Linked DNA regions of Mus musculus: region 1 is reported to be linked to region 2. The links are microRNA targets in miRTarBase. Many come from high-throughput screens and were not tested one by one. Region 2 holds a microRNA gene; the other region holds the end of a gene's coding sequence.
Evidence for each region. The annotated mature microRNA mmu-miR-762 reads GGGGCUGGGGCCGGGACAGAGC and lies in region 2 at 4,133-4,154, shown strand. An mRNA with a match to its seed (bases 2 to 7 or 8) in the 3' UTR can be bound and repressed. Matches are read on the target gene's strand: a 7mer-m8 pairs with bases 2 to 8, a 7mer-A1 pairs with bases 2 to 7 and ends in A, and an 8mer does both.

Region 1: miRTarBase lists Gas2l3 as a target of mmu-miR-762. Seed matches in the 3' UTR shown: 8mer at 4,469-4,476.

The regions. Positions count from the first base shown.
Region 1 is chr10:89,407,120-89,414,240 of GRCm38, reverse strand. It overlaps Gas2l3 (growth arrest-specific 2 like 3), which reads left to right. Exons shown (of 11, transcript NM_001033331.2): 11 at 1-5,418. The coding sequence ends at 1,038. Among named protein-coding and RNA genes, the nearest start is that of Gas2l3, 33 kb to the left of the region's middle.
Region 2 is chr7:127,704,402-127,711,522 of GRCm38, forward strand. Mir762 (microRNA 762) reads left to right here and starts at 4,086; the gene lies at 4,086-4,161. It overlaps Bcl7c (B cell CLL/lymphoma 7C), which reads right to left and starts at 4,365. Exons shown (of 6, transcript NM_009746.2): 1 at 4,035-4,365; 2 at 3,479-3,557; 3 at 3,032-3,140; 4 at 2,775-2,936; 5 at 1,326-1,411; 6 at 577-774. The coding sequence starts at 4,126. The coding sequence ends at 649.

The DNA of each region.
Region 1 (7,121 bases), not on the chromosome of region 2:
GTGAGTGTTCCGAAGAACAAGGAGAAACAGGTACGTCTACCAGGTGCACGTCTGCCTGCATCGTCAGTAAAAGGTAATTTGGCTTCCCCGTCTACCCGGGCTAAACGGCCAGATTCTCCAGCATCATTTCCACATCCCAAGGTGACATCTTTGAAGGACGCAGCAAAAAAGACGACTGCTCCTTCCAACAGTGTATCGCAGTCCCTGGCTTCTCCAAATCCAGGGTCTAAACCAAGCACTGCACAGTGTGCCTCAGAGTCATCGCGAAAATGTGTCACCTTCCCCAAGACTGCACAGACCAAGGCTATTCCAGCCCAGAATTCAAGAGATCTGTCTAAGTCCAGACTTTTACCAAGTAAATCTCCTGGAAAAATGGAACCAAAGCATTTGAAACACAATCATCTTTCTTCTAGGGATGAGTCACGTATAAACTTATCATCCAAGTCCCCAAAGCTACCTAAAGGAGCCATGCACGGAAGGCCTAACCCTTCTCCTTTCCAGCCACCTGCCAAAGTGACCAAGCCCAGTTCTAAAACCGGAGCCATAGGTCTAGGGACACAGTCTCAGCCACCCACTAGAACGCCGAGGTCAGGAGCAGTCTCAGCACAAAGACTTCAGTCTACATTGAATTTAAACAGTCCAGCTTCTGTGTGCTCAGGGTCCTCTGCAAAAGCTACTCAGGGATCGAAAGGTAAGAATACAGTTTCAGTTGCCAAAAAGCAACCTCAGAGTAAGGGTGTCTGCCGGAATCCGGGACCTGGCTCTTCAAAGTCTCCTGGCCGTACCCCGCTGTCTATTGTGACTGTTCCCCAATCTGCTACCAAGACAGAAACTGTCTCGAAGTCAGCCAAGACTGCCATGAAGGGCCAGTACTCAGCTAAAGGGCCTCCCAAAAGCAGCAAGCCACCAACTTCCTTCAGGGACCCACCCTCATCTGGTAAGGGGGCAGACAGCGGAGATAAAATGCCCACTGCCAGGAAGAAGGAAGAAGATGACCATTATTTTGTTATGACCGGAAATAAGAAGCTTAGGAAATAAATACACTTGTATCGTTTCAGCAAATCAGGGTGATCAATGAATGGCGAGCCACAAGGATCACCAAAGATCTTCCTATTTGTGTCTGTCCGGAGAGCTGCAGACATGAAGTCAAGATGGGATGAAGCTGGGTCAGGGAAAGGACCCATGCATTTTGTGTATCAATGGACAAATGTGTGAGTTTTGACCTGTATCATCTTGCTAATGATGTCTGCTGTTTGAGGGAAGTGTAAAAGTCCAAGAACACTACTAGAATTTTAACTATTGGTGGTATATTTTTGAACACAGGTTAACTGTGGAGGTTATCTGCTAATAGCAACTCCGATACTCTTAAACACTAGTTACTGTGCTCAGCCACAAAGCAATGGTTTGCTTGGCGCTAGTGTGTGCCTGTAATCCCAGCTCCGAAGGCTGAGGCAGGGGTACACAGTAGAAGCCAGCAAGGTTTTGAAATGTGCTGTAATAGGCACCTAATTTATTGGTCAGGAATCCTGGTCCAGCAATCCTAAGTACCAATGGCTCCTGCTGTTTACTTTGATATTATTCTGGATTAAATGGAATTCTTACTATTTAAATCTCTATAATATTTCCGTATCAGAAGGGACTATTTGGTTTTTTAATTAAACTTGGCTTTTTAATACTGTATCATTTTATAACCAATATTTTTGATAAAAAGAAAAAAAAACTCAACCAAGTAAGTTAACTTATTGAATCATAAGCTGAAATTTAGTAAGAATTAAGTTTTTTAAAAAAAAAAAATATATATATATATAATCTAGACACTTTGTATCTTATATTTTTAGATGAAGTCTGTGCAGTGTGACAGGGAAACATTTAATAGCTTTTAGCATACTAAGATATTTTAAATAGACATTTCCTATATGTACATATAAATTTTTTCATTAAAATAATGTGTTTTGATACCAGAATTAGGTTTTAATGATCTTAAAATTAAAAGGGATGGGGGGTGGCTCAATGGATAAGTCATGTCTAGTACAGGCATGGGGATTGGAGTTTGTGTCCCCATACCTACATACAAATCTGGGTGGGCTTGATGGTCTGCCTGTAGTCCCAGCACTCAGGAGGAAGAGACAGGATTTCCTGGGACAAGCTGGCTGGCGAGAGGAGCCGATGGATGAGAGGCAGCTCTTTTGAGAGACCACCCCTACCTTAGTAAAAAAGGAAGATTCCCAAAGTCAATGTCTGTTCTCTCTATGTACAGACTCATACATATATCCTGTTCACATATGCACACACACACACACACACACACACACACGCACACACACCTATGAATGCATATATACACACAGACTCACATACATGCATGCACACCACATATATTGACGCGTACAAAAGATTAAGATGGTATTAAGAGAACCTTTGTGTGATGCTATGCACACATCTCATCAGGTGACTTGTATTTCTTTTGCTAGCACACTGTCGATTTTAATTAGTCTCCAGATTATGTTCATCTTCATTAGTAAGGCCATGTTGTGCTCAGTTTTCCAGTGCCCAGCAGACAGTGTACCTTCTGTTCTGTAGGCAGATTCTCGTCAGGAATATCCAATGATTTCATGACAGCATAAACACCTTCCACCCACAGGGATACTTGTAAATGATTTATGTACAGGCTTGTCACTATTTAAAGTTTATTAATGTACTTTGGGAACTTTTAAGGGTGTTAAGTAACTATGGTATTACCAGTTATCCTAAGTTGTAGGAAGGAAAAGCAGGTCTAAGAGGTACACGCTTGTAATTCCATTACTTGGAAAGTGGAGGCAGGAGGATCAGAAATTCAAGGTCATGTTCAGCTATGCACTAGAGACACGCCTCAAAAAAAATTGTCACTTTGACTCCTCTTTTATAACTCAGATGCCCTCCCTTTAAAATCTGCTTTCCATCCTCCTCCTCTTCCTTTCTTTTCTTTGTGAGACTGAGGATCTATGGTGTCTTACATTGATAGATAAGCATTGCGACTGAGCTTCCTCCTCGGCCCCTTCAAATACGGTTTCTAACACAAACAAAATAGTTGACCCAGACCTGCCATCATTGAATGAGTGAGCATCGTGGCTGGCTGCTGGCATTCTCTAGACCTACATACAGCAAGAGAACCTTGGGTAAAGACCACTGGATCTTTACCCAAGCAGTATGCATAAAATCAAAGATCTACTCAGGATCCCTTACAACAGAAAACCACCAAAAACTTGCCAAACGTTCCGGTTCTGAGCATCACTAATGGCAATATGTACATCTTTGAAAGCACCTCTTAGCACTCAAAAGAGATGCCAGGGGCATTTCTGTAATCAGGAATATCTAACACACCTTTCAGAGAGGAAGGATTGTAGCTTTAGAGAGGCTATTCCCTCATAGAGAGGGCCGCCGAAACTATTTCTAGATCAGTAACTTCTGAGAATTAAAAGAAAAATATAAATTACACTATAGGCAGACTAAACCTATGACTCAGTACATTGTACAGTTTTATAAACATTATCTTTTGTGCTGGGTAATCAAGAATAAAGATATTCTCAGACACCTGGCACAAATTCCCGAATTAACTTTAGGATTATTTATTTAAGATAAAGATTGGGTTTTTTGTTTTTGTCTGCTGTTCAGTAGCATTTCTCCAACTGTAGTCATATAGGGTGAATTTCTTTGTGTGTGTACCTTGTCTTTCCTAAGCATAGGTTGTATGTGAATAAGTAATTCAGTTCCATGGGAACTGAGAGAACACTCAGCAACTCAGAACACTTGGTATTCTTGCAGAGAACCTGAGTTCTATTTCCAGCACTCCCGGGGTGGCTCACAAGCATCCAGAACTCTTGTTTCAGGGTATCTGATGCTCGCTTCTGGCCTCCAGAACACAGGCACCAGGCATTCATATTGCACACATACAGGCAAAACATTCATACATGCAATCAATCAATTAGTAAATATCTTTCCCTCCCAAATTAAAAAAGTTAAATTCTTTCTGATGTATTTTGGTATTTTCTAAAGGAGCTGATAAATCTTTGCCACAATTTAAAAAACAAGTATAATGCAGTTGTACTCACTTCTTTTTACTACTAGTGTGAAATTACATAAGGTCTTTTTGTGTTTAATATTTAATAAACCAAATATTAAGCATAAAATGCTGATGTACCTGGAAGACACATGTGTGGTTTCTTAAAAATAGAATGTTTTTGTTTTGGAATGCTTTGCTAATGTGTAATTATATAAAGCTGAACAGGGACGGGAAGGGATTTTTTTTTTTTTTTTTTTTTTAAGATTTATTTATTATTTTATGTAAGTACACTGTAGCTGTCTTCAGACACACCAGAAGAGGGAGTCAGATCTTGTTACGGATGGTTGTGAGCCACCATGTGGTTGCTGGGATTTGAACTCTGGACCTTCGGAAGAGCAGTCGGGTGCTCTTACCCACTGAGCCATCTCACCAGCCCATGAAGGGATTCTTTTTACACTCTGCTTCTGGGGAGGTGTTTGAAGAGAGCACCTTCCCAATGTATGGACTTTTAGTGCCCTTGGCCTGTCATCTCCACAAAGTCTCATCACGCAGATGCAGCTTGCCTGGCATTCTCTAGGTAGCCCAGGCTGGCCTTGAGCTCATAGCAATCCTCCTGCCTCAGTCTCCTGAGTACTGGGTTTGCAGGTTTCGGGTACCACATCAGCTTGATTTCATAATGGATAAAGGAATAGTTTGGAGAAAATAATTTCTTCTGCAGTCTTTTTTATTTCTGTCTAATTTAAAAATCTGTTACTTCCTTAAAAGGAGCTAATAAAGGTTTTGATGTATTCTTACATCCAAGTTTCATGCCATCTCTGTGTCAGTTTGGATTTGTATATATTCTGTTGTTTTTTAATTGTTGTTGTTGTTTCATGTCAGCAGTATTTGTATCCAACTTAACTTATATTTTCTCAAGTATTAAAATGTCAGCATAAACCCACTCTGTTTGCTTTTTTAATGTATTTTAACTGTGTTTTGATTATTTGACCCATGTTGGAAATTGCATATATGAAACTGATAAATTAAGAGTTTTAAATATTATGTTATTTTAAACATTTTTTTATTGTATTGTTTCTCGATATTGTTTCAGAAAGACCAGACTCGTGGCTAATTATCTTTGAGATAATGGAAATGATCAGTTATTAAAGTCAAATTTTATAGGACACACCAACACTGTGCTTACAGAAAGTCACTGATAATAGAATTTCAAACTTCCTTTTCCCATAGTCCTGTTTCAGGGTCACACTTTGATACACCGTAAATGTATTTGAAATCCTTTTTTTAATGTTCTTTTATGACCAGAGCAATTATTAAAATGGAGTTAACCTACTATGTATTTCCTGGGCTGTTTCTAAGAATAAAATCCCAAATGAAGTTTTATGTTTGCCTAACTTTATAAGTGTAAAAAATTTAAGTGTAAGTGTATTTTATGACATTCTGGAAAAGATGAGGCACACTTAAAACCTTTTTTGGGTAAATATGAAAACACAGACAAATCTTAAGTGGTTTTACAATATCTATACTGTTAATGTAGAAAACCCACAATCTTGAAGGAATAATGCAAAGATAATGTTTTCTCTTTCTACATTAGGTGGGAACAATTTAAGCACTGGTTGGAGATATAGCCTCAGTACACACCAATTAAAATTAACCTCTGTGGCCTACCTTTTATGACTCCTACCAATTTTCTTATGTCACTTTAAATTACTTCACATATTACGAAGGTGTGAACAAAGAGAAGAAACTGAAGTTGTGTATAACTGTTTGCCTCTGACAAACAGCAGTGTCTGTGCCAGGCTGCTATGGAAGAGAGAATAAGAGGGATGTTGCATTCAAGATCACTGGGTGTCTGTCACAAAACACTTAAGTAACACCTGGGCAGTGGTGGCACATGCCTTTAATCCCAGCCCTTGGGAAGCAGGTGGATTTCTGAGTTCGAGGCCAGCCTGATCTACAGAGTGAGTTCCAGGACAGCCAGGGCTACACAGAGAAACCCTGTCTCGAAAAACCAAAACAACAAAAAACAAGGATTCCATAAGAATAGGTGTTATCTTTACCAGACTGTTAGAACCATCCGGAAGGCAAGAATTATAGCTGTTGTTTACCTCTGTGTTCTCAAGAACGAAGTTTGGCACACAGTAGGCATTTAGTACTTTTTATTTATGGGGAATTTTATACAGTGTGTCCTGATCATGTTCACCCCAGGTCTATCCTAGAATTTCTTCCAGAACAACACCTCCACACTCTGTTTATGCCTTTTCCTTCTCTGGAAGATACTGTCTTGCAGTACATGTCCTGGCCCTCTGGCTTTTACAGTCTTTCTGCCTCTTCTTTGATGTTCCCTGAGCCTTCAATGTAGAGGTTGTGTTGTCAATGCATTCAGCAGGGGCAAGCATTCAATGCTCAGTTGAGCTCTGCACTTTGACCATTTGTGGCTTCCTGTAACGGTCCCCATCTGCTGTAAATAGAGGCTTCTTTGGTGAGGGATGAGAGAGCTACACTAATCTCTCAGGGTGAGAATAAGCATCAGAATACAGTTAGAGGTTATACTGGCATGGGAAACTGCTGGAGTAAGCTCTCCTCTCAGTTCCAGATCACTTCCACCAGATCCTGTGCCCTAAGTGTGATGTCTTCAAGATGTTACCTTCTTTCTCTGGCAAGTACCAGGGACAAAGGCAATGGCCTGTACTGTTTTAGGAGGTCTCTTGGACTCTCTTGACTAACAATTCAAGGGGGGGGGCGGTTCATGCCTGTCATTTGGGATTTTTATTAGTCTATTGTTTTAGGGGGAGGGAAGCATTGCCCCCCTAGTGTGTGTAATTTCAGTTCATCTCTCTTCCCCTCTCTCCCTTCCTTCTACCCTTCCTTCTTCCCTCTCTTTATGTGTACATAATTTTAGATAGTCATACTTCCCTATATCTTTTTCAAACATCCTTAGTGTTATGTAACCCTCCATGTGGCCATTCCTCCTCCTCCTCCCCTCCCCCCTCTCCCTTACCCTCTTCCTCCTCCCCCCTCCCCTCCCCTTCCTCCTCCTCCTCCTCCTCCTCCTCCTCCCCTCCCCCTCTCCCTTCCCCTCCTC
Region 2 (7,121 bases):
GCGTTGAGCTAGGAACAGCTGGGAACCTAGTTTTATCCTTGAGAGGCCTGAAGCCTAAAAGACAGAAATACAGACTCAAAGTCTGTAAATATTGAGAAAACAGCCTGATAAATATTGAGATGAAGGGAAGGAAGCTTAAAGGTCTGTAGAAACTCAAAGGTGTTGATGCTGATGGGAGTCTAGCATCAGGGGAAGACATCTAGGAGGAGATGATAATTACACAAGAGCCAGAAGTGTGGGCCTATGGCTCCACATGGAAGGGATGGCTCAGCTGGAGACAATGCTGCACCTTCCTGAGGGGGGGAGCGGTCTGGGGGCTTCCTCTGGGCCTGGGTTCCTGTGAGTGAACTGGGGACTGCAATCTGCTGGGCCCTGGGCAGGGTAAAGGTCGCTGAAGGGCAAGGTGGGGGTGCAAGGGAGGCGAGGTCCTGGCTCAAGCCCTCACCCCACATGTAATCATGGCGTGACTACAGGCCATCTCAGAGCCTCGTGACCCCATCTGAGGAACAGAGCATGAGCCAAAACTGTCTCCAAAGACCCTCCCCAGCCTCGACAGGGAAATGACATGACACAAAATTACAAAAGGGTCTTTATTTATAAAAAGCCAAAGGGGCCCCTGGAGCAACAGGACAGGAGGCAGGCGGCTTCTCAGGGGTCAGGGGCATTTGGACAGATGCGCTTGAGTGGGGGGGCGCCCTCCGAGTCCTCTGTGTCACCCTGGGCTGCCTCAGGGACAGATGGCACTGGCTCAAAGACAGGGTAAGCTTCGGGGGCCTGAAGAGGAAGGGCGGACAGGTGTGAGCTCCACTCTAACCCGAGAGTACAGCCTCCTAGCCTCTGCCTTTTCCACTCTGCTCCCGTGGGAACCCAGAGTCTGGCCCAGGACCGGGTAACCAGAATGTAGGGTAAGGCACCAAAAACAATAGCAACAGTGTTTGGGGGAAAGAACTTGATTTTTCTGAAAAGCAAATCAAGGTAGTTCTTCTAGGGGAAGGCACTGTCGTAGGCTAAGTTTACAGCTCAGGACGTGTGTCTGTGCAACGCAGGGGACCCAGGCTCTTGCGCACGCTTAGGAAGTGACGTTCCACCAAGCTGCATTCTGAGCCTAGATTTATTTATTTATTTTTTAAGTCCTTAGAGGAGCACCAAGATCATTCCAGGCTCTCGCTGCTCTTCTACCAGCCATGATGCAGCCCTCAGGGTGCTGTCTGTAATACTCTTCACCCAAGAATCCAACCTCCAGCTAAGCCTAGCACCAAGTCTCCCTGCTTCCCCAAAGCCTCCAGTCCCCACAAGGCCAGAGTGCAGACTCTGGCCTCTCTCACCTCAGCTTCTAGCAATTCTGGAACAGGCTCCTCCTTGGTCAGCTTTGGGGGTTCATCAGTACCGCCTGCAGGTGTCCCCCCTGGATCTGTAATACCAAGCAAAGAGAGACTTCCTAAGCAGCTACTCTGTGGTGGGAGAATGGATCAGGGACAAAAGAAGCAGGCAGGCACTGGTCACATATGGCAGCAGCAGAGGGGGATCCCTAGTTGCCAAGGAAGGCAGACTCAGTCAGGTTGGATCTCGTTAGTGGGGAGTGAGCCAGGAGACAACAGAGGTAGAGCAGAACTTAGGCAGACAGAAATAGATGCTTAGCAACCACGGATCCTAAATCATCTGCAGAATGGAAATAGTGTCAGTCAGACCACGAGAGGCTGCTGTGTGTGGGGGTCAAGGGTGGAGCTGCTCAGTAAGTGCCAGGTAGCAAGTTCATTCATTCACTTACTCATTCATTTCTTACATTTCTGTGGTAGTAGAGATGGGGCTCAGGGCCTTAGGCATGTCAGATAAGCACCTACCACTGGACGCTTCCCCTGCCCTATCCGTTTATATTAGCAAAAGTATTTGGAACAATCTCGGTATGGCCCAGGGGCCATGTCATGGTGTTCTTGACAGGGGAACAATTTTGGCGGCAACAGTTTGTCAAGGCCTCAGTGTGAAGTGAAGGAACCAGAGGCTGCGGGGAGCCGAAGAAGGATGTGAGGCAGGAAAATAGCCGTCTCGAACGTGTGCTTTAGGAGAGCTGCTCTGCAGCCACCGGGGACAGGCGTGGAGGCCAGAGCAGGTACAAGGGAGAAACGAGAAGGCAGAGCCAAAGGCACAGGAGTCAGGCACGCCTGGGAAGTGGTACTGACCAGACAAGGGGTGGACTATTTGAAGACAGAGGAGCTGAAGAAGGCTCAGGCCCAAGGTGTTGCTCACTGGCTCTTAAGTCTGGGCATCTTTCTCTGGATGTTGGTCTCCTCGTGTACAGAGAGGACTCATGATAGAATCATTGGTCCCAAAAGATGACAGTGAAGATTAAATGCGAAAACAAACAACAGAACTTCGGAGTGCTCAGAGGAACGACTCACAGACAAGCGGTTCTGTTAGCTGTTAATCTACTGCTATTAATCCCTATGATTATTGGAATTATTTATTCCCTGAACATCTATTACGCATCCCACATGATCAAGATCGGTATGGCTGACAGGAGATGATAACAGAAAAAGACAATAAGCAAGCAAAGAAATAAATCTGCAAAAAAAAAAAAAAAAAGTCAGCTGGTGATATGCTCCCTACAGATCTAAGAAGCCGGAGGATTGAGGCACAGCTGGAGGTGATCTCTGCCAGGGTCAGGGAAGATTCCCTGAGGGAGGCGGGACCGGGTGAGAGGACATAATATAAGAAACAAGGACAGGATGGTGGGTTCAACTTTGATGAGAGGGCTCCTGAGAGCCACAGGGCCCTACCTCTCTCCTGACCCAATTGTGGGGGCTGAGTATCTTCAGTAATCACTTCTGGGGGTCCAGTTGGTGATCCAGGGCGGCTGGGCTGGGGCGTCCCCCCAGGGCTGGGCTCAGCACCCTTTTGCAATGAACCTTCAGAATGGAAACTCTGGTTGCTGTTCTCATCTGATGAAGCAAAAGCCGCGCGTTAATTAGCCAGAGATCCCCAGGGGATTCCTTCAGTCCCCCCCACCCAACTCCATTCCAGAATCTCTACATACCATTGAGATCCAGTAGGATGAGGGGGCCTCCCCCTCTGGGACTGGTGCCCCTACCACGTCTCTCCCGGCCACGGGATCTCTCTGCCCCGCCTCCTGCCCGCCGCCTCTCCTGGGGGTTAGAGAGGTAAGATCAGAGCTAGTTGTCTAGGGAGCTCTTACAAAGCCCTTCAATACGAATAAGGAAACCTAGGCTCAGAGAAGCGAAAGGTGCTGCATCAGGTTGTGTAGATTGAGTTAGGCCTTGAACTTGGAGAAAGTGTGTGTGTGTGTGTGTGTGTGTGTGTGTGTGTGTGTGTAAGTGCGCTCGCGCCCCCTAATAATCGTTACCATCTGCCTGGGCTCCACACTGGAGTCTCCAAGCCGACTGAAGGTGGAGGCCAAGGCTGGGAGGGAAATTGCTTGAGGCTGCACAGATGCAAGGCCTGTTGGGGGTTGGGGCTTGCTCACCTCCTCCTGGGGATCCACCACAGGCACCCACTTGAAGATTCGAAGGGAAGTGTCTCCCACAGTCACCCAGCGCTTCTCCCTGTGGGAGGTCAGGAGACTGGATCAGGGAGGCCCAAGGATGAGCCCCACAGACTGGAGGTCAGGGAGGTGTGCTAGGGTAGGGACAGCTTCGCTAACACTGGCACAGAAGCAGAAAGAGCCCTCAAACCCCAGGGCAAAGCAGAAACGGATATAACTTGGAGCTGCGGTTTTGCAGACACCTGGGGCACTCAGCAGGGCGCCACCAAGGCCTGGCCAGGGACTCTGGCAATGAAGACCCGGGGCCAAGCTTGCTAGAGTGTCAAAAGCTTCAGGGGGCGGGGCATAGATGAGGGCTCCCGCTCAGGGAAAGCACCACTCCGGACCACGCTTTGTAGACCTCTGGGAATTGCCGGGGAAAGGGGGCGCCCTGTCGATTCAGAGCACAGCTGGTGGGCGGGGGCAGCGGGCCAGGAAAGGGCGGACGCGTTTGGAGGAGGTGGCTTGGCTGTATCCCTGGCCCGGGGGCAGCGCTCACCATCTCCGGACCTTCTCGATGGTCGCCATCACCTTCTTGATGTCATCTTTGGCCCGGCTCCGGGTCTCGGCCCGCACGGTCCGGCCGGCCATGCTGGCGGGGCTGGGGCCGGGACAGAGCCCGTGGCGGGGCGGCCTGTGGTCCGGCGATCTCAGGCTGAGCGCCAGGCCCCAGCGCCGCTCTTTCGGCCTGCCGTCCCTCCGGGAGTTGGCCGCGCCCTCCCTCGCTCCCCAACGCCTCCGCGCGTCCCCGCCTGGCTTCCTAAGACCGCGCCCCGCCCCGGCCCGTCCCCGGAGCGGCCCGGGCGGCGCGGGCTGCTAGAGCCCCGGCCTGGAAGCCCGGCCAGCCCCGCCCCGGCCCGGGCCCGCCCCTCGGGGCGCACGGACGCACAGCGCCCTCTGCCAGCCACGGAGAGGGAGAGCTGGGGGGCAGCTGTGCGGCTGGACGCGCGCGGCCCGAGCGAGGCGGTGCGTTCCGGCCACGTGGGCTCAGGGGTGCGCGAGAGGGACTGTCCTGGTGTGCGTCCGCGGCGGGTGGGCGTCCCTGAAATGCTCTGTGCGCGCGTCTGCCCTCTCCAGGCTGTTTGATTCTACGCTGCCCAACTTAATTTGTTCATTCATTCATTGAACAGTCCCATGAACAGTGCCAAGTACGCGCCAGACGCTGCGAGTGGAGAGCGGGCCTCCTCAGCCAGAATGGCGGGAATGAGAAAGACCATGTAGATGGGGTAGCAGAGCAACTTGGCATTCCTTGAATCAGGTTGTGTAATTGGTAGAGATACTTTGGAAAACTGATAGTCTTCCAGTGAAAAACTTATACCAACCCCGTTTTCCAACACTTTCCACTCCCAAGCTATCAACACTCAACAGAAGAAATGTGTGCTTGCCTAGTTTTTTGTCAGCCTGACATAAACTAGGTCAGCTGGGATGAGGGAACCTTGGTGGAGAAAGGGCCTCAATCAAGATGCCCTATGGGTAAGTCTGTGGGGCCATTTTCTTGATGGTAGTTGATGTGGCAGAGCCCACACCACTGAGGGCAGTGCCACCTCTGAACACTCTAAGAAAGCAGGCTGGACAAGCTTTGGGGAGTAAGTCAGCAAGCAGTATTCCTCCAAGGTCTCTGTTTCAGTCCCTGCCTCCAGGTTCCTGCTTTAAGTTCCTTCCCTGACTTCATAACGGACTATCACTGCAAGCTGAACTACATTCTTCCCTCCACGAGGTGCTTTTGGTCATGGTGTTTATTACATCACTAGAAACCTCACTAGGACAAAATGTGGTGTCTGTATGAACACCAAGATATGAATACTGGAAAGTTTGGGACTCTTTTCACAGTAGCAACAACCTGGAAACAACACAAAGAATGGAATGGAAGGGGCTGGCGAGATGGCTTAGTGGGTAAGAGCACTGACTGCTCTTCCAAAGGTCCTGAGTTCAAATCCCAGCAACCACATGGTGGCTCACAATCACCCATAATGAGATCTGACGGCCTCTTTTGTTGTGTCTGAAGACAGCTATAACAATAAATCTTTATAAAAAAAAAAAAAGAATGGAATGGAAAAGCAATTACAACCTATTTCTACCATGGACACGGACAGAACAGCCAGAATCACCAGAGTCCAGCTATGTGCAACAGTGAAGAGAGATCTTGGATGAAAGAAGTCAGATGTGACAGCATGCATTAGAATAATAATTAGAATAATTAGAATTATATACATACATACCTACATATAATTCTATATATAACAGAAAACAAATACATTTTGGGGGGGGGGTCTGGACAGTGATCACTATTGGGACTACCAAGCAAAAGAAGGGGTTTCTGGGACCCGCTTGTCACACTGGTCTTAAGTCTGTCAAGATGTACATTTAATACTTGTGTAATATTTCTTGTGTCTATTATAGTTCAGCTAAAGGTTTACTTAAAATGGATGCTGTCAAGATGTCTCAGTGAATAAGGCATTTGCCACAAAGCCTGATGACCCAAGCTCAAAAATTGGGAGCCCATGTGATAGAAGAGGGAACCCACTCCTGACAGCTCTCAGACCTCCACACCTCTTACACATCATACACAGGCAAAATAAATGAGAGACGTTTTGGTTTTTCCTTTAAAAGAAAAAAGGCCAGATGTGGTGGCTCACACTTTAATCCCAGCACCCAGGAGGCAGAGGCAGACAGATCTCTACATGTTTGAGGTCAGCCTGGTCCAATAATGAGATACATAGTAAGACCCAATCTCAAGAAGAAAGAAAGAAAGCGGGGGCTGGAGACGACGACGTGGCTTCCTGGTTAAAAGCTCTTACTGCTTTCCCAGAGAATAGTAGTTTGGTTCCCAGCACCCATGTCGCACTGCCTGTAAATCCCCTCCAGGGGAGTCCATGCCTTCTTGTCTCCTCCAGCACCCACTCAGACGCACACATGGCCCCGACACACACTCAAATGAAAGGGAAGAAGATGAGAGTGTCTCGCATGATTTTTATTTGAAGCTGCGCTGTCACTAGATAGGACGAGTCTGCTGTGCTATGTGTGTGAGGGGTGTCTGTGACGTTTTGGTGTGACCATGTCCACCATGACTGGCAGCGTTTCCAAACGGTAAGAAGTAAAATCTCTGCTTGTCACACCTGCGTGACCGTGGGCAAGTCATTTGTCTCATTGCCTCCTCTATTATGGAATGAGTTAATGTGTATATACAAGCATTCAGGATAGTGCTTGGCACACATGAATACCCAATACATACTGCTGGTTAGTGTGTGTGTGTGGCCACTGCTGACATTGTGGCCTCACCATTCACCTATGGTGTGCTCTGCCAGTGAACTTTGTTCTGACAGTCTGCTTGTGTTAACCCTCTCACGCAGGCTTTTCCAGTTTCCTTTCTCACAAGCTCCACTCAAGTGGAAACTTCTGGTTTGGAAAGTCAGTTATATCAAATGATAGTTTGCTGGGGCACACAGGTGAAAGGATGTCTTGTTAAGCAGACACATGAAAGAATGTTGTCCTGAAGCAGACACAGGTGAAAGGTCCCATGATGAAGGAGTAGAAATGTGACCCCAGGGTCAGTGGGACACTGAGCATTGGTGTGGTTTGCTCCGCC